Danio rerio: one gene and its partners. The protein of the gene in region 5 purifies or fractionates together with the protein of the main gene of each other region. This does not show direct contact. Links are inferred from orthologs where the notes say so. Each region holds a gene or a part of one and is shown on either strand. Other genes may lie near its edges.

What was found.
Region 1: the proteins of hnrnpua (region 5) and hnrnpa0b purify together in Homo sapiens (affinity purification with mass spectrometry; 3 studies listed by BioGRID and IntAct, with this or other methods). This does not show direct contact. The link is inferred for Danio rerio from reciprocal best matches to the Homo sapiens genes HNRNPU and HNRNPA0.
Region 2: the proteins of hnrnpua (region 5) and dimt1l purify together in Homo sapiens (affinity purification with mass spectrometry; 3 studies listed by BioGRID and IntAct, with this or other methods). This does not show direct contact. The link is inferred for Danio rerio from reciprocal best matches to the Homo sapiens genes HNRNPU and DIMT1.
Region 3: the proteins of hnrnpua (region 5) and prmt1 purify together in Homo sapiens (affinity purification with mass spectrometry; 4 studies listed by BioGRID and IntAct, with this or other methods). This does not show direct contact. The link is inferred for Danio rerio from reciprocal best matches to the Homo sapiens genes HNRNPU and PRMT1.
Region 4: the proteins of hnrnpua (region 5) and hnrnpd purify together in Homo sapiens (affinity purification with mass spectrometry; 4 studies listed by BioGRID and IntAct, with this or other methods). This does not show direct contact. The link is inferred for Danio rerio from reciprocal best matches to the Homo sapiens genes HNRNPU and HNRNPD.
Region 6: the proteins of hnrnpua (region 5) and sf3a1 purify together in Homo sapiens (affinity purification with mass spectrometry; 3 studies listed by BioGRID and IntAct, with this or other methods). This does not show direct contact. The link is inferred for Danio rerio from reciprocal best matches to the Homo sapiens genes HNRNPU and SF3A1.
Region 7: the proteins of hnrnpua (region 5) and prpf8 fractionate together in Homo sapiens (co-fractionation; 3 studies listed by BioGRID, with this or other methods). This does not show direct contact. The link is inferred for Danio rerio from reciprocal best matches to the Homo sapiens genes HNRNPU and PRPF8.

Annotation. Positions count from the first base shown.
Region 1 is NC_133189.1:43,441,385-43,445,518, forward strand, and holds the start of hnrnpa0b (heterogeneous nuclear ribonucleoprotein A0b), read left to right. Parts: upstream 1-1,334; 5' UTR 1,335-1,365; coding exon 1,366-2,310; 3' UTR 2,311-2,446; exon of another isoform or gene 2,447-3,020; intron 3,021-3,254; exon of another isoform or gene 3,255-3,591; 3' UTR 3,592-4,134. UniProt on the Homo sapiens protein: mRNA-binding component of ribonucleosomes. Specifically binds AU-rich element (ARE)-containing mRNAs. Involved in post-transcriptional regulation of cytokines mRNAs.
Region 2 is NC_133183.1:19,048,824-19,051,792, reverse strand, and holds the end of dimt1l (dimethyladenosine transferase), read right to left. Parts: intron 1,987-2,969; coding exon 1,880-1,986; intron 1,791-1,879; coding exon 1,748-1,790; 3' UTR 501-1,747; downstream 1-500. UniProt on the Homo sapiens protein: Specifically dimethylates two adjacent adenosines in the loop of a conserved hairpin near the 3'-end of 18S rRNA in the 40S particle.
Region 3 is NC_133178.1:31,168,095-31,171,783, forward strand, and holds the end of prmt1 (protein arginine N-methyltransferase 1), read right to left. Parts: coding exon 3,672-3,689; intron 1,760-3,671; coding exon 1,676-1,759; 3' UTR 501-1,675; downstream 1-500. UniProt on the Homo sapiens protein: Arginine methyltransferase that methylates (mono and asymmetric dimethylation) the guanidino nitrogens of arginyl residues present in proteins such as ESR1, histone H2, H3 and H4, FMR1, ILF3, HNRNPA1, HNRNPD, NFATC2IP, SUPT5H, TAF15, EWS, HABP4, SERBP1, RBM15, FOXO1, CHTOP, MAP3K5/ASK1, MICU1 and NPRL2.
Region 4 is NC_133185.1:5,488,728-5,492,950, forward strand, and holds the start of hnrnpd (heterogeneous nuclear ribonucleoprotein D0), read right to left. Parts: upstream 2,801-4,223; 5' UTR 2,610-2,800; coding exon 2,449-2,609; intron 1-2,448. UniProt on the Homo sapiens protein: Binds with high affinity to RNA molecules that contain AU-rich elements (AREs) found within the 3'-UTR of many proto-oncogenes and cytokine mRNAs.
Region 5 is NC_133192.1:12,686,454-12,689,953, reverse strand, and holds part of hnrnpua (heterogeneous nuclear ribonucleoprotein U), read left to right. Parts: intron 1-1,291; coding exon 1,292-1,365; intron 1,366-1,521; coding exon 1,522-1,661; intron 1,662-3,267; coding exon 3,268-3,367; intron 3,368-3,452; coding exon 3,453-3,500. UniProt on the Homo sapiens protein: DNA- and RNA-binding protein involved in several cellular processes such as nuclear chromatin organization, telomere-length regulation, transcription, mRNA alternative splicing and stability, Xist-mediated transcriptional silencing and mitotic cell progression.
Region 6 is NC_133183.1:43,426,844-43,430,343, forward strand, and holds part of sf3a1 (splicing factor 3A subunit 1), read left to right. Parts: intron 1-131; coding exon 132-206; intron 207-902; coding exon 903-1,053; intron 1,054-1,353; coding exon 1,354-1,550; intron 1,551-1,679; coding exon 1,680-1,797; intron 1,798-3,053; coding exon 3,054-3,361; intron 3,362-3,500. UniProt on the Homo sapiens protein: Component of the 17S U2 SnRNP complex of the spliceosome, a large ribonucleoprotein complex that removes introns from transcribed pre-mRNAs.
Region 7 is NC_133190.1:30,762,322-30,765,821, forward strand, and holds part of prpf8 (pre-mRNA-processing-splicing factor 8), read right to left. Parts: intron 3,280-3,500; coding exon 3,160-3,279; intron 3,061-3,159; coding exon 2,751-3,060; intron 2,670-2,750; coding exon 2,535-2,669; intron 2,426-2,534; coding exon 2,296-2,425; intron 2,220-2,295; coding exon 2,023-2,219; intron 1,948-2,022; coding exon 1,741-1,947; intron 1,656-1,740; coding exon 1,492-1,655; intron 1,386-1,491; coding exon 1,259-1,385; intron 1,154-1,258; coding exon 961-1,153; intron 778-960; coding exon 590-777; intron 473-589; coding exon 234-472; intron 142-233; coding exon 1-141. UniProt on the Homo sapiens protein: Plays a role in pre-mRNA splicing as core component of precatalytic, catalytic and postcatalytic spliceosomal complexes, both of the predominant U2-type spliceosome and the minor U12-type spliceosome.

The DNA of each region.
Region 1 (4,134 bases), on a different chromosome or scaffold from region 5:
GATGACCATTCGGCAAGCTAATCCAGCTAAAATTAGTGCTTAAAATATCACTTAAATGCAGTTTTTATATCTCATAATTAAATAGAAAATGAGGCAGATAACTGCAAAAAGGTCCACTTCCTAAGAAAAAAGGAAGTTTTCACCCTTTTCACCAGGTTACGGGTGGGCCTGTGAATTTTATGTCAAATAATAAACTGTAAAAAATATTCTGGTGGCCTTAAATTTTTAAGCTGAATCAATTTAACTTGAGTCCATTGAACTTATTTTATGTTAAACTGACTTGAAACAGCTTTCTAAACTCGTAATTTAGGTTAGTATATGATTAACTTAGTTTAATAAGTCACAATGAACTGAAAACATTTGCTGTCACGACTCTTGATCATATATTTTTTACAGTGTGGAGATCAATGTTTTTGAAGAAAGAAATTTTGAAAGTAGTAATAGTTAAAAATTCTACATGTCCAAATGCTCAACCACTACAGTAGGTCAAAATTAGCAAAAAAAAAAAAAAAAACGGTTAGATTGTACTTTGTAAGATCCGAAAATGATAATGTTCATCATGTCATTTCAAACCGCAACATACTGTTTATGTAATCAGGACTGATGATTTTTTTTCTTCACATTATTAAAAAATAAACCAAGCCTTGAATTTTTTTCCCGCCTTGCCTGCTCCAACTTGTCTATTGCATTTCATTAGTTATTGCCTCACTTCACAATCTCAGAGTGTTTCTGAATGTGGATCTATAGATTTGTTGAGTTTGCAGTTGAACAGAGAAAAGCAGTTGTAGAGAAATAGTGTTTAAGACATGCATTTTCTCAAATAAATAAATTAATTAATCTTACAGACATAAACTACACACGGTCAAGCAAAATTTCATTTTCAAGTTTTTAAAATTGCATTGCATGTATTATTGTAATTAAATATGTACTAAACATTATGTATTTTTAAATAATTATACATCCGGAATTATACAAGCTGGAACATTATTTATATTTAGTATATTCGGCTTACCATTTTTATAAAAAGTGTTAGAAAATGGCCTTGGAACTTGGAACATTATTATTATTTTAATAAATAAACGGTAAATATTGCATTATGTTTCATAAGCAAATATTTTATTTCAGTGTTTCTACGTCAAATTGTCATGTTTACTTCAATGCATGACTTGTTTTAGTGTAGTCATTTGTAAACTAGAAATTTCTATCAGTGGAATTTTAGCACCATTCCTCAAATCCCGCCTTTTTTCCTGTGAATGGGGTGTGTCTTACGGCGAGAGAGAACATTGCGTCATGACGACAGTCATTTTAAAAAAGGCTCTTTCTTAGCAGCAGTCGAGTCTTACGGCGGTCACCAACGGCAAACAAATGTCTGAAATGGAGAAGCTGTGCAAACTCTTCGTTGGCGGTCTAAACGTCCAAACGACTAATGATGGTCTCCGCTCTTATTTTGAGCAGTTTGGGAACCTGACGGACTGCGTGGTGGTCCAGAACGATCAGCTTCAACGATCCCGTTGTTTCGGCTTCGTTACGTACTCCACCTCGGAGGAGGCTGATGCAGCAATGGCCGCCAGGCCACATGTTGTAGACGGTAAAAACGTGGAGGTGAAGAGAGCCGTGGCTCGAGAAGACGCCGGAAGGCCCGAAGCTCTCGCCAAAGTCAAGAAAATATTCGTCGGTGGCCTAAAAGATGACATCGAAGAAAAAGACCTCACCGAATTTTTCTCGCAGTTCGGCATGATCGAGAAATCCGAAGTCATCACCGACAAAGACACCGGCAAGAAGCGTGGTTTCGGCTTTGTCCACTTCGAAGACAACGACTCTGCAGACAAAGCCGTCGTGCTCAAGTTCCACATGATCAACGGACACAAGGTGGAGGTGAAGAAAGCGCTCACGAAACAAGAGATCCAGGCTGCCGGTGGAGCCCGCGGCGGCAGAGGGAGAGGCGGAGGAAGAGGCATGGGCCGCAATCAAAATGGCTTCGGCGGCGGTAGAGGAGGAGGCTACGGCGGCTACGGGGGCGGCTATGGCGGAGGATACGGCGGAAACGATGGCGGCTACGGCGGTAGTTATGGAAGTGGAGGCTACGGTGGCGGTTACGGAGGTGGATACGGAGGAGGCTACGGTGAGCAGATGGGGGGCTATGGCGGTGGAAACGGTTACAGTGACTTTGGCAGCGGATACGGCCAGCAGTCGTCCGGCTACGGTCCCATGAAAGGTGGAAACACATACGGCGGCAGGAGCGGAGCCCCCTACCCCCGTGGTGGTGGCGGTGGGCCTGGTTACGGCAGGGGTGGTTATGGAGGCTACTAAAGCAGGTTGGGAAAGACTCTGCAGCTGCTCCCCTCCCCCAGGTTCTCTCGGTTTCCACATTGGGCTCATTCACCCGGCCATGCAAGAGATGGCGGACACTGTGAAAGCATACCTAAAAGACCTCAATTCTTAACAGGTAGGAAGAAGATCTCTTCCCAGAAACCTGACTTGCTCGACCAGCTTTAGTTGTAGGACATGTTCTATTATTATTATTATTCTATATATCTCTATATGTCATTTATTTCCCAATTTTAGGGCATGCAGCAAGATGGCCCCGCTTTTCTTTCTTTTTAAAGAAACGATTTGTTCGCAGCCGATTCGTTTTTAAATTTTGTTCAACACTGGCGATTTGTTGTCTAAATGCATACTCAATAGACTTGTTTTCTATATAAACTGTTGCCTAGCAGTGTCATGGGGGGGATTAACGCATGCAGTTTTGAGTTTGTGTTCGTCTTTGTAAAACCCACCACGAGATTTTTTTTCCTAACTAGTTTATCATGATGGGGATAGATTAGGCTTACGTGATTTTTGTTTTATTTAGTAAACTAGAAGAGAAACGCACTCATCTGAGTTCAGTTCAACGTTGTGTAAGCATCATACTTCCAACATTCTCTTGTGTATTGTATATTATGTCTTCAGATCAATCCAGTATTGTTAAACATTGATATGCAATTGTATGTTACTTTTTAAATAAAAGTTTCACAGCTTAATTATCTTTTTATTATCCTATAGACTTTAATTAATGGGTTTCCACTACACCTCTAATAGTCAAAGCATATGCATATGATTATTATGACATTAAATTAAGTCTGCATCACATTCAGTGATATACTAATTATTATTCTAGTGTTTATGGCTTTTATATTTACTCTTGATTCCCATATTTAGGTGTTCTTTCAGTTATTCCACTACTTCAAAATAGCTGTAGCAGTTTGTTTGTACAGGGAACCTGTTCAGTACCTGGGTTCGATTGTGATAGGACTGAAATATCTCATTAGGATATCATCCTGCGATCTAGGTATGTAATCAACCTGTCTTCACTACGTGTTGGTCAAGTATTACCATTTTATTATATTTATTCCTAAATATTTTTTAATTATCATTATTAGTCACCATCTATAAGTCAAGTGGACATGAACTGGTGCGATGGAATTTGGGTTTGTGTAACACCGCGGCTTATTAGGATCTTGACTTAAAGGATTTTTTCTTAACTTGATATTAAATCCTTGTGTTTATCTTGCATGACTAACATGTTTCTTTTCTTCATGTCTTTTCCCCCAGGTGACCTTGAATGCAGGACTATGCCCACATCAACTGTGGCCATGGAGTTTTCTACATGATCCACAATAGACTGATGAAGCAGTAATAAACTGTTTTCTGTGAAAATGTGTATATTTTTACTAAAAATGTGTTTTTAATAAAAAAGGTTTATAAAATCATGTGTGGTGTATTTTGATATGTACTGGAATGACTTTCCCCTGTGAGTAAATCTGTGGAGATTATGTAGGTTTGTAGGAGATTGAGGATTAATGGATGGATTTGTGTTTGTTCGGGGATGAGGTCCAATAGGATCATTTGAAGCATCTCTAATTTAAATCTGGGTTGTATAAAATATGCAAACAGCTCTTAAAGTTAAATAAAGCCATACAAGTATTGAGTATTTGTGCATTGCTACTAATACAAAGAAGATCAGAAGATGTGGACTGCAAAAGGCATCTTTAAACATTACTTATAAAGCTTCTGAAAATCCAACCTTTTTAAATTATAAGCAATAATAAAAAGTGGTGGCTGATCTCCACACTTTATATATAATTTAATCAAAAT
Region 2 (2,969 bases), on a different chromosome or scaffold from region 5:
ATATATTTAAAATAATAATAAAAATGATAATAATAATAATAATAATAATAATAATAATAATAATAATAATAATAATAATAATAATAATAATAATGATAATAATAATAATAATAATAATAATAATAATAATAATAATAACAATAATCAAATTTATATCTTCAACCTTTCTATCACATCAAAAGATGAAAATCTGAGGGGGAATTTTGGGGGAATGTACGTTCATTTATAGAGGCCCCTACAGTTAAAAAATATCAACCTGGAAAAAGCTGTTTTTTTATTGTCTTAATCCACATTGTAACTACAGAAGAGTCAAGCTTAAAGAGGAAAATTATCTTTTTTTTTTTTTTAGCAAGAAGCTAATGATCTATCTAGATTTAGTGATTTATGCTAAGCTAAGATAAAAGTGCACCCGCCAGACCTGGAGATTAACTGAATGGATTTAAAAATGGTTAAACTCAATTGTTAAACTCTAGGCTATTTGTGAAAGGAGTCAAAAACGATTCCAAAAAAAGGTTGTTTTACTTTCGGAGCATGAAAACAATTCAAAGTGAATCAAATTAGAAGCACTAGACACAAGTCGTACACAAATGAACAAAGCAGTTTTCTTCTTTCTTTAAAAGCCAAAAGACTTGTATTCAGAAGTTTGGAGAACATGTTCTTGATTGTATTTTTTACACTCTAAATAATAAGTTAACAAAACATTTACTTTAAGATTTATTGACCTTGTACAACTAAACCCTTTTAAAGAAACATGCCTTAAACAAATTAGAGAATAGGTCAATAGTTTGCAATCATATTTACAGTATACAAAGTACAGTTTCAATAACTGTACGAAAATGCAAATAAAATGTATGTTTTAAATACTTACACATTTAATATTCAAAGTATGTTATTTTTTCTAGATTCACTAATACATGTTTGACACTCCAAGTTCTATAAATGAACTGAAGCTTTGCTATCAATCCATTTATATCCACCCAGGCAAAAATGCTGCAAAATGTTCGGCTCATTGTTTGTATTTAAAGAGATAGTACACCCACAAAAGAAAATTGTCATCATTTAATCATACTTCACCAGTTTCAAACCTTTAGTTATGAGTTACTTTCTTCTGTTAAACACAATGAAGATATTTTGAAGAAAGCTGAAAACCTGTAACTGTTGACTTCTATAGCAGAGAAAACAATTACTATATAAGGTTTTCAGCTTTCTTCAAAATATCTATTTTATGTTCAACAGAGGCAGGAACTCAAACATTTTAGAAAGACTTAAGGGTGAGTAAATAGTAGTTAATATTATTATTTTTGATCAATCAAATGATCCATTTGTTCATGGCAATTCTTTACATTAACTAATGCAATTAAAACTGCACCTTACCGTAAAGTGTTAACAGCAATCATTTCTCACCTTGACAGTTCAGTAATGAGAAGTAAACACACGATGATGTTCAGTGCTGAGACTGACGGTAATGAAAAACTTGTCTTATCCGTTAAGACAATCTTATAGAGTAAAAGCTCTTACCACACACTCGTACATCTAAAGTATTACCTCTCAAAAGAAGTCCATAATTCTTTCCCCAATACAGGAAAGGCACAAAACATCCCAGCCTGAGTGATTAAGTGTTCCATTGCTTGTCCATTGAAAAGAAATGTCAATCATTTCTTCGCATGTACGAAAGCATCAACCAGAATACGAGAAGACCGTGACATCACTTCTGTAAAGCTAGTAGCCGTTCCCCGTTCCTTAAATTTTAAGAGAAGTGTATCCCAGCAGAGTTGAACGCATGAAGAAGCCTAGCGTAAAATATGGATGCAGAAAAAAATGCTTTACAAAACACCCCCAAAACACAAAATGTACATGAAGTGAAGCGGGTTATACTTACACCATGAAATCATCTATATCCATGGAACGTGCCCTCTTATCACTGAACTTGGACTCTTGAAGGATGCTTTCAATTTTCGGAGCAATGTTGAAATCCTCAGGGATTTCCTGCAATTCAATTTGGAAATATTTAAATATACTTGCATCTACAGATAAGTGCAGTGAAAAAGTGCAGTTTACATCTGATAGCACAAGCTGATGAAGCTAAATACAGGTGTGAAGGGGGTCTAAAGAGTTGAGCTTTCCAGATTTAGAGATGTTTGAAAATGATTTTGATTAGACTTCTTTTGTAGCATAAATAGCTATAAAAGACACCCCCACTCCACCAACTGACCCAACAATGATCAAGCTTGTATATACTAGTGGTGTTACGGATTACAAATCTCACGGTTCGGATCACGTTATTGTTTTTTTTTTGTCACGCATCGGACCATTTTTCGGATCAGTCAAAAAGGGAGAAGACATGTCATTTGCTTTTTATTTATTACAAAAACAGTACTGCAAGACACTTTTGGTTTAACAAACAGAACTTAGAACCTGTAATTTTATTAAAAAGAAAAAAAAAATCAACTAAATAAAAATAAACTGTAAAATATTCAGAACTGTGAAAAATTCACTGTTACTACCGTTGCTGATAACACTAAATGTAGAAATCTAGCATTATAATTTGTACAACCTAAATTTATTTTTAGTTTCATTTTCAATAAATGATTCAGTTATTCACTCATAAAGCTTCATTGCTAGATATGGCATCCTAAATAACCTTCCACAACTTCCTCAATCATCATTATATCTACTATTATATACAATCTTAAAGCTTTCATACATGTGATTTGCATGACACGAGAGGCACTCACTCTGTAAATGGGTAACACATTACAATAAGGTTCATTAGTTAATGCATTTACTAACATGAACAACACTTGTACAGCATTTATTAATCATAATTGAACGTTTACTAATGCATTATTAACATTCAAGTCCATGCTTGTTAACATTAGTTAATGCACCATGAGTTAACATGAACTAACAATGAACAACTGTATTTTCATTAAATAACGTTTAATAGCATAAATAAATACTGTAGTAAA
Region 3 (3,689 bases), on a different chromosome or scaffold from region 5:
AAAAAAAATACATAACAGATTAGCTTTAATGCAAAAATGTTTTTCAAACGCATGTCTTTATAGGCTAAGCATTACATTATTTATTTCAAAGTAAGAATTGTGTTCATCTGAGACCACACAACTTCACATCACAAAATAAATAAAAAATTAAAATGTCCAATGTTGTTCATACAGGCACAAAAAAAAAGTTTGAACGTAAATCTCATAAGGCTCTGAAAAAAACACAAGCACAGAGGCTAGTACACTAAAATTCTATGCTTACTAGTTTGCACTAAACAAAAGAACAGCAAATCTAATCAAGCTCCGAAATGCATTGAAAGGACAGTTATAGTGGGTGGGCAGTTCATCATTTGCCCGTGTTACATCTACAGCAACATCACCTTCGATTTAACAAGCAGCGTTTCAAACATTAAAGATTATAATTTTTTGATCATCAGTTGTACACTCGAAATGAAAAAAAAAAACAACTTTGCATTTTTCAAATCACTGAAATCAACGAATGAGGTTTAATGTTTTTATTTCAAAAAAAGAAAAGAAAATAATACACTTCCTAGACAAATGTCTGCCTGATAACAATCCACACCAGTGCTAGACATCAGACACAAACTTGCATCCCTCCACAAAAACACTGTAGTACACAGCAACACAGAGAAGATCAACAAACGTGAAGTTACCCAAACACAGGAAATGCATCATCTTTCAATAAAAGCATTTCTATGGAAAATTTAGGCTGAAGGTTTCCTTCAGTGGAATTATAATATTGTAGTTCTGGGTCTGAGAAACTTAGTTAAGTGCTTACAGTGCAAAAGAGCAGCAGATAAGCTTAAACTAAACAGTCATCAGATGAACATTTGTCCTACATGAGATTTAAAAAGACCAAAAGATCTACAAGAGTGCTTATTAACACCATCTATGAGTTGTACAGGAGATTATTGCACCATCTCAAATGACACAATATTATCCTCTGACTGGGTCATTGCCACAAGCACTTAAAAAAAAAGCATGGACATAGGAGCACAATGGAAATTAAAATGGTTACTCCTCAGACTAATGGCATGTTATGGAGGCGCCCTCTAGTGATGGTCCAAGACAACTGCCTTCCAGTACAGACAGAAAAAAAATAAAACAATAATTCGGCAAGTAACAGGGCAGAGTTTCAGTCCACAGTCAAACATGACAACAGGTTTTACCTACATGAAAAATGCTGGCATTACCAGATGGATTATCAAAAGATATGGCTGATTAGCATTTTTTTGTCACCAACAAAGACATGCTGGCATGGCAGGGGAAAAAAAAAAAACATACATGAATGACATGTCTCAGATGCAGACAGAGGGCAAAGAGCAGGCGCAAGTGTGTGCATGTGTGTATGAACTCAAGGAATCCTTTCCCAGATGGTGCATCTAAACTTTGAAAAAGGCAGGGCCAAAAAGGTTTAACACACAAGATGGAAAAAACACGGTAAAATCTGCCATGTTTAGTCCTCTCGTGCGCATTTTACACAAAATCAAGAGTTCACTTACAAAACAATTCTAAATCCTCCATGTCAGACAACATTCTGCAAAACAAGATCTCTAAAACTGCGCAGTCATGGAACAAAGGGTCATGGTTTAACACACAGGCATACACTGCTCTCTTGATTTGCTCCACACATGTGCACTGATGCTAATGGAAACTAGCGCATTCTGTACTCTGATGTCTTGGACACCTCACAAAGTTGACCCTTGAAGTCAATGTCGACAGTAAAGTCCAGGTCTCTCTGTAGGGGGAGGAAAAAAAGTACATGTTTAAATTGTAATAATTATAAGAGTGTGAACAGTTTTGAAAATCAATAGAGTTGCAGCAACATTGACAACTTCTAGTACAAGCTTCATTTAAAATGAAGACAAAATTTACAGATGTACCGATAGCAATTTTCGTGGCTGATTTAGACTTTTTTTGGGTAAGTGTGACTAGCCAATAATACTGTTTTTTTGCTGAATTTTCCAACATTACTATAGAATATCAAATTAATTTGAATATATAAATCAGAATATACAAACTGTATAGAATCCATGTATTTTTCATTTGCGTTATTAAATTACATTACTGTTTAACCCAAACCAACATGTGCAATTTTCCACTGTAACTAACTTTTGCCTAGTTTCTTATTTTACAGAAGTCCAAGGATTATATGCTTTAATGCATGCTTTTTTTTTAGTACTATTATATTATTATTTTTAGACATGACATATTTTAAGACATTTTAAAAGCAAATGCTGATAATTTGGAAAATAAATAATAATTTAAAAAAATCCTCTCTCTGAAAGCATTAATGACTTGTATAGCAGAAAATTTTACTTCAGCAACAAAACATTTTTGGGGGAGGAACTATTAAAAATGTTAGGGCTGCACTGAATCTGGAGTGCAGGCAGGCAGAGTGTACATGATCCTGCAAAAAAAATTGGCTAGTCAAGAGATGCATGTCTAAATATATTAACTTTTCTGCAAATAACATTTGGCCGATATTAAAGTTATTATTATATTAGGGGTGTCAAAAAACTATTGGATACTGATGTCATTTATCTCCTATGCACGATGTCGCAGTAGAATACTATGGCGAAGTAGGAGAGGGCAAGTAAATAAAACGCTCCTACTACTGAAAAGGTAGATAATTTTGCAGTTCAACTGCTTGTGAGTTTACTGGAAAGGCTTTCATTGAGACTGACTGAAGAAGACACAGCACATGAGCCGCTATTATACTACTAAGGAGAAATGCTGTAAAAAGCCATCTCTGCCTCTCTCTCTCCCTCCCTCCCTCCCTCCCTCCCTCACTTTTGTATATTTGACCCGCTGGCCTGTTCATGAGTTAACTTTTCCCCTTCTCTTGGCTGGTAAAGCGATACTTGTGGATCCAGACACGAACCTCCCTGTGGTGCGAGTTTTCTCCACTGTGGATTACCTTTGATAACTGCATATTATGCACATATAGACTGTAACCATGGCTGTTCTTCCCGTGTCACTCATCAGTGAACAGCACTTTTATGTCTAAAGCCAATCACAGCTGTTTCTGTCAAACGGGTGAAGACAATAACCAGTCATAGAGGCAAGACCTCACTCAACAACGCTCAAAGCAAGTGGGATAATATTTCCATAAGTTTATTGCCTAAAAATGCTCATGTTGTCTTCTGTGTATGTATTGGGAGTTTTGTTTGATACCTTGAAAAAGAGTGTTTTCTTTGAGCAGGTCAAATTAAAGGTACAGTTCATATATCTTACTTCTTGTATTAAAGGACAAAATTGTGTTACAAATAATATATAAATATTAATATATTTTCAGATTTTAATAAAAAAAAAAATAGTGTTGGGAGAAAAAAAAAAAAACTCATTTTGCACTGAGATATCGAATTAAACTGAATCGATGGCATGATAATCGTTACCGAACCGTGAGACCAGTGTAGGTTAACACCCCTAATTAATATTAAAGAAAGTGAAAACGTTTAGAAGTGATTAAGTTGTAATTTTACAATATAATTTCCAAATGAAGAGCTTTTAGACTTCATAAATTAGAAACTGGAAAAATGTTCAATTTAATACAGAAATCAACCCATTAAAATGGTAACAAGATATATATGACCATCCCTACACTTTCACTAAAGGTGCTAAAAGTAAGACGTGCACACAAGGCTCACATTATTCTTGACGTTGGG
Region 4 (4,223 bases), on a different chromosome or scaffold from region 5:
AGTCAATGGTTACAGGTTTCCAACATTCTTCAAAACATCTTTTGTGTTCAACAGAAGATAAAAACTCAAAGGTTTGGATTTGGAATCTCTTGAGGCTTGAGAAAATAGTGAGAACGTTTTAATTTTGAGGTAAACTTATCTCTTTAGAGTGATTTCTATCTGATTTTAATCAGATTTCAACTCGGGAGGGATAAACTTAACACACCAAAGTAGAGTAAATAGGTTACTTCATTTCATTTATTCTAAAAATGCCTGAGAACATGATATGGATTAGCATGTTTGTCAGACAGCAAATACTGGGTTGTAATTATATGTAATGTGATGTGCAGCACTGTGACTTTTAACATAAGCAGCTCATGATAACAGTGTTTTTAGACTCAGTGCACCTCGGTTCACTGTAAATAAATCCTGCTCTTCTGAATGCCGTCTTCGCGAATGCTGCATTTGAGTCTGAGTCGCTTATAGACCATTTCAATGTGGTCATGTCATTGGCCCATGAACATTTCCTGCATGTTATCAAACTATTTCATAACTGTAACAAGAGGCAATTCAATCGTAACTTGATAAAATAGCTGTCATAACATCATTTATCAATATGTGGCTCTTTTTGGATTCTCGAAAGCTACAGAAATAAAAAATGTAAAACAGGAAATACATTGGGACTATTGTTTTTGTTTACGTCCCATAAAATGGTCTATGATGTGCATTTGAAAATGTAACTGTGATGGAGTATCTTTCCAGGCTAGTCAAGAGAATCTGTTGATTAACAGAAGCATTTCATTATTTTCTTACAAAAATTAAAACAACCATAAATATTAGATTTAATTTTCATTTTAAAAATAAATTAGCATTGCAGATTAGCAGCAAAATAATTGATGTTTATTAACTTTCCATATTGACTATTACACGTGTATACCTGTAGTTATGACCAGTCTTTATAGGAAATAATAATTATATAAACAATGACTACCTTGTATGACTAGTCTAAGTAGTTTCTGCAACCGACCATAGATGATTATATTTCAGTCTTGTTTTGTCATAAAGTAATTCATTTATGCATACTAGACAAAAAAACACCATTCAGTTCTAAATCCGAGTTTCTCAAAATATGCTTTTGTCAAATTGACATTTGACAAAGCTGCATTTGAAAGGCAAATGTATTTGGAAAATGAGTCAACTTGCAGCTGTCCATTAAAGCGACAGTTCACCCAAAACAGAACATTCTGTCATCATTCACTCATCCTCCACTTGAACAAACCTCAATGAGTTTTTTTTTTCTGTAAAAACACAAAAAGGATATTCTGAACATTTTTGGAAATCATTGACTTCCACAGTATATGTTTCCTGCTATGGAAGTCAATGGCTACAGCTTGGCAACATTTTTCAAAATATCTTTTTCTGTGTTCAACTGAAAAAGGTTTGAAACCATTTGAGTGTCTTTCATTTTAGGGTGAACTATCAAACGAATATTAGGGAACACTTTACAGTGAGACGGGCAATACATCTGTTAAAGTATTTATTATTCTTTCATCAATTTACTAAATAAAAATTTAACTGATCATTGTTAATGCATGTAAATGACACAATATTACAGGGTTTCTGCCGCTTTCAACAAGTTAAATTTAAGATTTTTTAAGAAGATTATGAATGAAATTTTAGAAATATACAAGGCTAAATGCTAAGGATTTTTTTTCATTTGAATATTTTTACCTTTTGTCCACTGTATTTAAATTTAATAATACAATAATAATAATTTATTGATGAAAATATATAGGTCAGGTCAGTATCCTTGGCAGTAACTTTTAAACAAATGTTACTGTAAGTAATAATAACTTTATGGTATAAATGTTATTTTTAAAACGACTTTTATAGAGATTGGGAATGTATGGCTGTTAATGGCTAGATTTGGTCGCTACACATGAACAAGGGAAAATTAAGACCTGTTAAAAAGATTTAAGACCTACAACACGATGTTTCAGTATATTTAGACTTCTTAAAGCCTAAAATTTAGCTTTTGAGATTCAAGACAATTTTAGACACAGCAGATACCCTGTACTAGGATATGACTAGTAAGTTATATTTTAAACAAAAGATAGAAAACATTTTAATAAACCTTCATTTACATTAAAATCACCAAATGCTTTGAAAGCATTTCAATTGATAGTCCACATTAATTACTACAAACGTATGCAAAGCGATCAATCGATACTCCGACACACATATTCATGTTATTTACACAACCGGCCACTTTTGATAACGATATTAATATTGCATAATGACCACAAATATTAATGCAATGATTATAATACTTTAAATTAATATAAAACGATTCCTTGTTGATAATTACTCATCTAATCGACTACTATTGGGAAGCGATGTATGAACTCAAGGTTATTTTATTCTTCGGTTACAGTCTGTTCCCATGGTGCATCAGGAGCCGAAACTCACCCTTCGTCCTCCTCATTTTTACTGGCATCAATCTTGGAGCCCTCGGCTTCTCCCTGTCCTCCATTATCCCCCGACATCTGCTCTTCGCCGAAACCTTCTCCATCATCATTTTCCTCCATCTTCATCGTCGGGTCTTCGCCCAGAAACTGCTCCTCCGACATATTTGATCAACTATTGGCGAAAACACGCGCGGCTACAGTCGTTTCTACAGACGAAAACGTCTTAGGTCGTAACCGAAGCGAAATGCCTATAAATCGTGTTAATGCGGCTCAAATTCGCGTTTGTATTAGTCTGATTTCAGAATGTCGATGGCAACGGCGTCCATTCACAAAATGGCGGAGAACCGGAAGTTGAACGGGATGGCGTCACTAAGGTTACAAAATACGTCAACGTCGCTTCACGCTCATTGGCTGTAGGGCTGGAAATCTAGTTTGTTTATCTCAAACCTTTTAAATGCATAATATTGAATTATTATATGTACATTACATATTTTAAAAAAACTTAGTCATAAATGTTGTATAAAATAATCACACGACAAAGAAACATTGGTTTTCTCAGAATTTTTAATCCCTTTATCCAAAAACGTCAGGAAAAGAACTAAAAATACAAAATAAAGGACACTTTTCCTAATCAAGACTTAAGAACACATCAGCACAAAACCTACAGGTTCAATCTGAACAAAGCACAGAATAAGACAAACTTGGGAAACGAAACACCTCGCTATTTACAAGGTTAGACACTGGATTTGTCCCCAGAGGACCGAATAACGTTTTTAATAGTTGTTTAAGGACAGGATTCCACACAAGCTGCCTCCGAGGAGCAATGTCGAAGTCAACCTGCCCACCTACAAGAGAAGAGAGCAGAGATGAATCACCCGGTTTCCACACCTCGAGCAAAGCACGTCCATGTTTCAGTGTTTAACTTCTTGAGCTGTCGATTTTAAACTAGGAAAACCATCATTAAGGATTAAAGATCATATGTTAAACGTCTCCGACTGACAGAACAGCTCATAAGCCAGCAAAAGCCTCAGCTCCAAGCGGTTTGTGGACCAATCGAGGAGCGAGCCCAAACAGGTTAGCCTTTATCCTGTGTAAACGGTATGGTTATTAAAAACTTTAGCCAATCCTTGAACTGTTTTAAATCAGATTTCTCAGCTTTTAATGGCTTCGTAAAACTCACTTTACATATGATCTTTAAAGGCTATGCTTAAGAAAAAAGCACTGAGGTGTACCCATTTGAAGTTCTCTATGGCCTCTAAAGAAAAAGCAAGCATTATGAGAGAGTTTATGCAATTATTTACATGGGGAGGTAACCAAAAACCAAACATTACAAAGAAATAAATTAATAAATCAATCACTGAAGCTCCACAACTGAAATACAAGAGCACTACAATTGAAAAAAAGAGCATACAACAAAGCAGTTATCAATCACTTTTAGGTTACATTAACAAAGTCCTGGAAAAAAACATTTGGAACTGTTAACGAAAACCAACAACTTAATGAAATGGGGGAAAATCTCCTTTGTTTGTTTGTTTTACGCTGGTACAGGAAGTTGGAAGAGACCATACCACAGGACAGCGCTTTCTCGTGCATGCCGTGCTCTCTGCCCGCTATGTGCGACGCCCAGAGAATGACGTGGTCAGGTGACACACGGCCTGCAATGAAGTCCCCGCTGGCAGGTACAAACAAGGTACAATAATCAGAATTAGGGAAAGAAAGGAAAAATAAGGAGAGGCGCCTTTTACTCTGTACCCTTTTAGCCGTACATTACCTGTT
Region 5 (3,500 bases):
ACTCTTAAAATGTAAATGTTAAACAATGATGAAATCAAAATGGTTATATTTAAATATGTATATTAATGCTGCACAATATATTGTTTCAACATCAACATTGCGATGTGCGAATCTGCAATAGTCACATCACAGGATCCGCAATGTCATATTGGGATTATAAGTAACCAGAAAACACGTCTCGTATCATGCGATTTGTGAAGTCGTTGCAAAAGACTTTTATTATTTTCTGTCTTTGTTTTAAAGGAATGTGACTAAGATTTCAGGAGAATTTGAAGCATTTAGGCACAAGTTTGTCGCTTTAATGGAGATGAATTGTGTTTAATTACTTAATACAGTAGAATAAAAACTGTGCAGTCTTAATTTACTTTTGATCATTAAATTTTTTAACTTCAATACTGTTAAACTGTCCAACCAAAAACCATTAACTGCACCCGCAGCTGTTTTTCAGTCATTTAAAACCCTCATGTCCCAGTCAGATCTCCAATTATGTGATGTTCACATTTATCTTGTGGATATTTCTCAGTAGTTTAGTCATTGTTGACACTGTTATTTTGTTTAACTAAGTGTCTGCTTTATATATATATATATATATATATATATATATATATATATATATATATATATATATATATATATATATATATATATATAATTTTTATTATTGTTTTTTGGATAAGATTAATATTTGTGTATAGGGAAAATCTATTCATTCATTTCTGCTTTTTATACTTTGACTATTTTGTACTCTATTTTTTTATTTATTTATTTATTTTTCATATAGTCATTTTAGAAAAAGATTTTCATATTACAATGTATACAGTATTGCAGGAAAACTAAACTAAATATTTTTCCCAATATTGTGCAGCCCTAATATATATTTTAAAAACTTATTATTCACTTAAATATATTATATTTTTTTTATTATTATTTATTGTTTATAGATTTTATATATTTTTAAATATTTTATTTTAATATATAATACAATTTTTAAAAATACCAACACAATATCAATGTTTTAACTTCTGATAAGTAAAAACCCTTTGACAATTTTTGAGAAATCCAGAGAAAATTATCTTTAAAATGCCTTTATAAAAAAAAAATTACAATAATAAAAAAAAATGGCTGTGATGCGCGCGCGCACACACACACACACACACACACACACACACACACACACAAATAAATGGACTTCAGATGCAAAAAATCTGACAGACTTTTGCATCTGAAGGCTAAGTGTATTTCACTTGATTACAAAATAGTAAATCAGCTAAATTATTTTCCTTTCTCTCAGGGCAAAGTCTCCTCAGCCCCCTCTGGAGGAAGAAGATGAAGAGTTTGATGACACAACCGTGTGTTTGGACACCTGTGAGTATGAAGATCTTACTTAAAAACAACTCGCAATATGTTTTTGATGCAAAATACTGGTGATATGGTAAAGCCTGCAGGTCACAACATCGTTTCTGCTGAATGTGCAGTCAGTCTGTAGCTTGTAATAAATACAGTCTCGTCTTTTCTCTTCAGACAACTGTGACCTGCACTTCAAGGTGTCTCGTGATCGCTACAGCGCCTCGTCTCTTACGATGGAGAGCTTTGCCTACCTGTGGGCAGGAGGACGAGGGTCTTATGGAGTGGACAAGGGCAAGGCTTGCTTTGAGATGAAGGTGAGAGTTCGCTCTTAAAGGCAAAATATGTACAATTTTCTCTAATGCTGTGCAAAGATTAATTGCATCCAAAATAAAAGTTTGTTTTGAGATATATGTATAGTGCTGCCTTTGGTGATTGCCTAAAGATAAATACAAAAAACAATGCATGTGGAATAATTACAGCAGTTGCTGTCATTGATCTTATATGAAGAGCTTGCAACATCATATGATGTCGTGTGCAGGTGCTGTAGTGCTGTCCCATTTTTTTAGGGAAAGATTTTGAAATCCTTTACCTTCACACTCTGTTTCAAGGGCCAAGGGGTAGGTGTAAAATAATACAATAGGGATTGGGCCTTGGTTGTCAGCAGAACATATTAATGTTTGCCCACTAGCAGCCATTCCCCTAATGGTGTAACATCATGTTAAAACTATCAATATGGTATATGCCGAGCTAGTGCTGTTCCCATGTTGATACACTTCTGGTGACCTGTTATTGTGAACTTTTTTTCCCTTTTATACGGTTCCTTATACAGCATCGATGTTGTAATGTCATTAAAATATATTCAGTTAAACGAACTTTAGCATTTATTTAGTTGCTCAAGCGTTAAATGAGACAAAAAGCTGTTTACTCGCACGCGCCTGTCAGAATCGGCACGCTAACGCAGAAGCTCCATTGAATACACTGGGGTAAAATAAATGCTCATATTATAAAGATATGGCAGGGGAAATGTAATTTAATGCGGTGCTGCTTGTACAATCTGAGACCCACTTTAAATCGGATATCATTTTTAAAGAAAACAGACCTTAAACGCACCGGATTTTGCATTGGCATTCAATTCGCCGGAAGCGCTTAACCCAGGTTACTGGCAAATTAAAAGTCCTATTAGCATGCTTCGGCATATACCCCATTGAGATCTCTTTAAATAAAAAATAATAATAATAAATAATGATTCTCTGTTAATCCAGAAAAAAAAATTACACGTCTTGATCAAATTATCCGGTTGATTTAGCTAAAAATGTTTGTTTTTATTTTTTGCATTTATATTTGAGATTGTTATAAAATGTTATGAATGGGAAACAATCAGATTTATCTGCTATGTACAGTGCTCAGCATATATAAGTACACCCCTCACAAATCTCTCTTTTAAATTCATATTTTTTATAGGAAGCTATACAATATTATATTTGTGCATACACATTAGATTAGTCAGTGTTAAAGGCAAATCTGGAGCTTATCTAACAAAATAACTTTCGATAACGGTCAAACTAGTACAGACAAATTTACTTGTTATAGAAAAATAATAAAAACAAATTTTAAAAAGAGGAAAAATCAAGAAAAGCAAAAAAAAAAAAAAACTATTTAGTTGAAATGTTAGAGGTTGTAATTTTTTTATTTAATTGCATTGTCTTTCAATTTCTGAATATGTTTGGTGACTAAAATATAATTCTAATAAATATATCGGTTTAATAAATCTGTTTTGTTAAAATGCACCAAAATACATCGCCTATATTCACTGAGAAATGGATACAAATATTCATCTTCAAAATGGAGTGTACTTAAATATGCTGAGCACTGTAATGGCTAAAATGGAAATAAACATACAAGTACTTCCACTGTGAGCAGGTTATCGAGAAGATCCCTGTTAAGCACATCTCCAGTAAAGGAATTGAAGATCACGATGTCCTGGTGGGCTGGTCATTGGCCAACAGCTCTTATCTGCTGGGTAAGGAGGGTCTTTATATTTAGTTCGAAAATGAATTTTTTAGAGGCGAACACCTAAATTCAAAGTGCATTCTTTATGCTGACAGGAGAGGAAGCTTACTCGTATGCCTTTTCAATGACGGCCAAGAAAACCA
Region 6 (3,500 bases), on a different chromosome or scaffold from region 5:
TATCACACAAACAAATACTTTTTCCCTGAAAATCAATTGCAAATGTGAAACCCCCAAATGCAAAATACAGGTTACAAATACAGGTTATTCAAGTGTGACATTAAATAACTTGTTTGATTGGCTTTTTGCAGGTTTTGATTCCTCCAAAAGGTCTTCTGCTGAAACTGAAGAAAGAAGCAGAGAATCCTCGAGAGGTCTTGGACCAGGTAATCAAATATAGAAATGAACACCAAAATTTAAAATTTCAGGTCACACGGGGTGTGAATGAAAAAAAAAAAAAAAAACATAAGATATTGGTAGACAAAATCATATTTAGAGTTTTTTTGTGCCCTAAACATACTCTTTGAGCTTTGAATGATTGCAGTTTAACCAGTGAAGTTTCATGGATTTTTTTAACAATGTCTTTGATTCTTTTTTTTTGAACTTTTAATGTCTCACGAGTATTGCTGCCTATACATGACAATATCTAAATCTTACATTTATGATGAGATAAAATCTTTAAATATCAACTCTTTATGTTCTAAAGAACAAAAAAGGTTTCTGAGGATTGGAACAACATGAGCATAAGCAATTAATAATAGATTTTTAAAAATCTGGGTGAACTAACCTTTAGATAAAACGTTTTAGAAGACACATTTTACCAAAGCCATTTACATTTGATCAGATCTTGCTTTTCCTGAGGAAAAAACTCATGATATTGAACAGCATGCTCTGCTGTTATAGCAACAGGAAAATCTTGTAGCAAAACTGAAGGTCAATCAGACAGCAGAACTTAAATACTAAATATGATTGATATGTTTTAGGAAGTCTTTTGATTATGAAAATCACAAAAATATCCCTGTATGTGTAGTGATGAGATTGACCTTATTAGTATAATATCTCATTGTTCCCTTGTGTTGTAGGTGAGGTATCGTGTGGAATGGGCCAAATTCCAGGAACGAGAGAGGAAGAAGGAAGAGGAGGAGCGAGAGAAGGAGAGAGTGGCATATGCTCAGATTGACTGGCATGACTTTGTTGTGGTGGAGACAGTTGACTTTCAGCCTAATGAGCAAGGTAAGCATGTGTAACACAGGATATTTAAGGGGTTCGCACAAACATTCAATTGCACCAGAAGAAAGCTCTCAATTTGTACATTTTGTTATTAGATTTTTTTTATTAATATTACTGTCAATAATTGTATTAATAGGTTAGTATATTGATTAAAATATTAGTAATTTTGTTAATGCTATTTTTATGATTTTAGTTTCAGCAATAATATATCATTAATGTGTTTAATAGTGTTTTTGTCTTGCCTAAATACTACTTTTATATGTACAGTGCAAATTATTAATTATTACTCTTATACATTTACAGGTAATTTCCCTCCTCCAACAACTCCTGAGGAGCTGGGTGCTCGTATCCTCATCCAGGAGCGCTATGAGAAGTTTGGAGAGAGTGAGGAGGTAGAGATGGAGGTGGAGAGTGAAGATGAAGATGATGAGAGGGAGGGCAGAGAAGATGGACATGCAGCTCAGCCTGACCAGGACACACAGCTGCAGGACATGGATGAGGTGAGACACAAGGCTGCACAAGGGCTCATTCCATGTATCATGTTTATGCATCAGCATAGATGAGCAGTTTGTGGAAGTAGGATCTACATTTTTCTGACTGACTAGCACTTGTTCTTTGTTTCTCAATAGGGCTCTGATGAGGATGATGATGGCATGAAAGCTCCTCTGCCCCCTGATAACCCCCTGCCACCGCCTCTGCCCCCCACCCCAGACCAGGTTATCATTCGCAAAGACTACGACCCCAAGGGTGAGATTCCCACTACATTTATTAAAAAGCATACAAAAAGGACATATATCATTTGCTTCATTCATTCAGAAAATTGTTTTATTATTGGTTTATTATCAGTTAATTCTTGAAAACGCTTGAATTTTAATCTAGTGTTTAAGTTTGAAAAGTGCTTTGATTTTTAAATAAAGCGCTTTAAACTGCTTGAAAAGGCATTACAAGGAAAGTTTATTTATATAGCACATTTCATAGACAATGGTAATTGAAAGTGCTTTACATAAACAAAAATAAAATAAACAAGTATAAGAAAACAAAGAACAAAAGAATTGTTGTTGTCTGCGCCATTAGCCTAGTGGTTAAGTGTGTCGACATATAGCAACAAAGTGCTTACGATGACCTGAGCTCAATTCCCGGCTCAAGGTCCTTTACCGATCCTTCCATTTTCTCTCTGCTTCACACAATTTCCTGTAAATATTTTCCACTGTCCTATCAATCAAAGGTTAAAAACCCCTGAAAATAATTATAAAAAAGACAAAAATAGAATTGTTCTGCTTTCATAATAATTGAATTTACCAAATAGGGGGTAATTAACTATTTAATTAAAATTAAATATATATTTTAGCTTTTTCATAAAATTAAAGCTAACTCCATGGAGATTGCCACTTCATGGTGGAACATGCATATAATTTAAAATAAATACTCATTTATTAGGATAAAAGATTAAAGATGACGCATCAAGATGGATGTGAATTACTTTTAAAGGGGAAAATGCCAGTAAATCATTGGGGCTTGGGGTAAACATTGTAAAAAATGTTGTTTTAGAATACTTTACTGTACTGTATGTATTTATAGTTACTAATAACTGTTTAACCTAATAAAGTTTTCTGATTTTGATTGTAATGCAATAATGTGCACCTTTTTCAAAACTGCTTTGAAATAATAATTAATGAGATAAGTTATATACGCATAAACATGAAATAAATTGAACTATAGAATACTATAAAAAATAGCATCTTGTAAAGTGCTGTAAAAGTATAAAAATGCTTCTGGGAAGTACTTAAAGTGCTTACATTTGAATTTATAGAAGATGTAGGAACCCTGTATTATGTAAAATTGAAAAATATGCTTTGATTTCTATTTTGTATTTATTTATTAATTTTTGTATTTTTTTTATGTCATTTAAAATTAGGTTATCCCATGAAAAAAGACTTGGATGCTGAGATAGCATTAAAGTAAACATATAACTAACTAAGTGACTTTGTCTATTTTCCCCTCAGCTTCTAAGCCTCTTGCTCCGGTGGCCACACCAGACGAGTACCTCATCTCCCCCATCACGGGTGAGAAGATCCCTGCCAGTAAGATGCAGGAGCACATGCGCATTGGCCTGCTGGACCCCCGCTGGCTGGAGCAGCGTGACCGCAGCATCCGAGAGCGGCAGATTGAGGAGGAGGTGTACGCTCCCGGCCTGGACATCGAGAGCAGCCTGAAGCAGCTGGCCGAGAGACGTACTGATATCTTCGGTGTGGAAGAAACGGCCATCGGTAAGAAGATTGGAGAAGAGGAGATACAGAAACCAGAGGAGAAGGTGAGAAGAGTTTTAAGATACCTCAATAAGTCCACAGAACCAAAACTGTGCTCATAGCTAAAAAAAACACACACACAAAACATATTTTTTGAGTTATACTTGTGTTTTTTGGGCAAATTAGATATAAAATGATTAACAT
Region 7 (3,500 bases), on a different chromosome or scaffold from region 5:
ACATCATGTTTCATCAGTCTCATCCTAGCATCTCGAGGCCAGCATTTCTTATTGTTGTACCCCACAATGTTCTCATTGTTGGGGTCCGGGTGCTCAGTCAGGTACCTCTGGATCAAATCTCTGGCCTCATCAGCAGAGAACCTACATAAAGCCAAACCAGTAGATTAGAAAATATAACTTCAAGAATTAAACTGGGCAAAGGAAGATATAACTTATTTATCTGCACTACTAACCTGAAGAAGATATGAATGCGGTCTATATATCTGCAGTACAGACGGATGGGATGCGCGCTCTCAGTGGCCGTATCCTGGAAGCTGAGGAAATCATTAGGCATCTGAGGAGGTCCTGCCATCTCACTGGCTCTGTGCAGACCCAGCACCAGCAGGTCCATCACAAGTCCATAGTACTGCACAATGAAAGAGGCAAACTGCAGGCCACGAATGATACCGTACGAGTTTGTATGGTTCATGTCCTGTCAAAAGAAAAAACAGACATCTAAATATCAAGCTATGCAATGAAAGTAAACCTCTTAAAAGTATAAAGAAAAAGGGGATTTTAGAAATGAACTATTCAGTGCAAATAAACAGACCTTATAGTTAATGACAACGTTGTTTTTAGCTGTCATGTAATCAGCAATGTTGTGATCAACAATGAGACGCAGAAGCCTGTTCAGCAGCGTCAGATCAATCTTCTCATACATCTTCTCGTAGCGAGACTCCAGCATAACATTACATTCACCCTCTGCTGTCTCCCATACATCCTGCAAGTTGTTGATTCCTGCAACCACAAAGATAAAATGTTAAATAGTGAAATTAAAGACAAAATATGGACTCGGATAATTACAGGCATCACGCAATAAGCTTTTGTCTTTGGCCAAAGAAAATGTTGATTTAAAATTATTCCAAAGTAAAAGAACAATTATAAATGGGTCAATCTAGAAACAATAAATTCCTTCTTCACCTTGGCACCATTTGTACACCAGCAGTGGTGGTGGCTCTGTGTCAGCTGGTTTGATCCAGGGTGGGAAAAGCCTACGTTTGTCTGCCTCGTACCACAGGTACTGATCCAGGTATGCGTCAGTGATCTTTTCCAAAGGTTCAACATCATAAACCGGCACCAAGTGACTGTAAAGGTCCATGAACTCAATGCCAACCTGGAGAAGAAATTAACTACTTTATATGAAAGCTAGGACCAGTAACAGGCCAAGAGGAATTCAGAGGTTATATAATGTCTGCTGAAATTGTGATTGCGTACAAACCTCTTTGAAGGCTCTCTGAGTGAGGAGGTGACGTTTGATTCTGGACAGAGCCTCATGAGGGTTGTCATAGGCCTGCTCAATCAGACCCAACTCCTCACGCTGTGACTGGTTCAGCCTAGACTTCACACTGTAATAAAAAAATAAAGAAAAAAATAAAGAATGTCAGAAAAGATGCAATCATCTAAACCAACCCAATAGCTTCGCTCAGGTTTGTTTTATGGAACTGGCCTGACCTGTAAGCTTCCTTGAGTCTCTCCAACGCCAGAATGAGCAGCTTGGTGTCATGCTTGTAGGAGAGAGGAGGGAAGGGAATCGGAGAGAACCGACGACTCTCCAGCCAGTGCACTGTGGTGGTGTAGATGGCCACGGCCTCCTCAGCTGTGATGTAAGGCCCATCCTATAAAACAAATTATTATTTATTCCATGTTCCTTTATGAAAACAGCAAACTGTTTAAAGCTTATAAGAACGCACAAAAATGTACCTTCAGGTAATTGTGCTGTCTCTCCTGCTCTGCTTTTAGGTAGAGTCGAGTGAGACGTCCCAAGTTCTTCTTGCACACAGTCTTATCCACAGTTGCTCCTCTTCTGATTCTCTCACGGTTGTAGTGAGCCGTGTTGGTCCACCAGTCAGCTTTAGCCTTCACGTAACGAAGAATCATGTTCTCGATGGGAGTTGGAAGCCCAGGAACCTGAAAAATTAAGTAACAGTCCCTAAATGATAAACTTTTAAATCTGAATAATATTTATAAGCAACAAAACTGTACCTTCCAAGGAATGTTGGCCTTCCAGCATCTCCATGACTCACTGAGGTGCTGCAAGATGGTTCTGGCCTTGTTTTGCTTGATACCCTCAGGCATCATATCCAGGATGTCATGCATCACAGCAGCTCTCAGCTCCAGATCAAAGTGAGATTCCACACGCTGTTTGGTCACAGTCTTGGCAACACCCTTAGAGTGTCGACCTAAACAGCAATACACATCAAATTAATCCAGAACACCACCTTTCAGCATCCTTTGTAAATACAAAGCTTATTTTACCCTCAAACTGCCTAGCCAGAAGATTGCCGAGCCACCGCTCCAAAAGAGGGGTAATGCCTCTCATGAAGAACAGCCAGACTCTCCATCCTGGTGCCCAGAACCCACAGCCTGGACCTTTTCCAACTGGGCCCTAAAAGATAGATGACTTTAGTTGCAAGGAATAGCATCAATCCAAACCATCCATCCATCACATGTGACAGAAACAATGTTTTTTGATAACCCCATTGAGTGCTACTTACTGTGTTGAAGCGATAGTAGATGAGATGCTTCAGGTCTTTGCACATTCTGATCTGCCTCATGAGCTTGTACTTGTAGCGGTACATGCCAGTCAGTTGACCCACATGGGCAAAGATGTACTGCAAGCCATCAGCAAGCTACAGGAAGGCAGACAAGTTTATTAGTGGTCACAAAACTAACAAGCTTCACAGAGTGCATAAAGGTTGTATTTGTTATACCTGGAAAGCATCAACATTTCCAAGCCTGTACTGTACATGACTGTCCACCACCAGCTTGCTCAAGCGCAGAACCTCACGGCACAAGTGAAACGCATTTCCGAATCTAGACTTCTTACGTTCCTTTGTTGTGAGGGTTTTTACAGGCTTCAAGTTGAAGTTGTAGTCCAAGTGCAGGTAGTTCAGGTTCTTTCTGTGAATCAGCAGGTTCAGCATGTTGTAGCCCTGCCGGCACACCTGGAGTCCGACTTCTACCCAGTCCAGCTTTGTTGACTGGAAGAATTTGGTGGCCTTGAAAGAGCGGAACAGGTATCTAAAGAAGAGAAAGGAAAATACAACCATTGTTATATGCATTACAACACACCTCTTTTTAAATTACACCTTGCTACAGGCTCTGGAATAGCAGACTCACCTCTTTTTCTGTGCCTTTGGTGGTCTGTGTTTTAGAGCATTCAACACATAGTACTTCAGAAGCTTCTGGTAAGACACACGCACCTTCACAGGCTGGCCTGCAGGACAGTGCTCACGATACCTGGTTGCAGAAGAGAGAGCCTATTTATAAAGTTGTAGTCTTCTTGCAGAGTTTCTTAATCCTCACGTAGTATGCGAGTCCAGAAGGACCGGCACAGAACACATTTGTGTTAAACATAAGAGACACTTTAAACGTTTTTAGAAAAACAGTGTGATCCCGCAAAAGATCATGAACACAAAAAAGATCCATGCTTGAACAAATGTGTTGTGTGTGAATGGTCT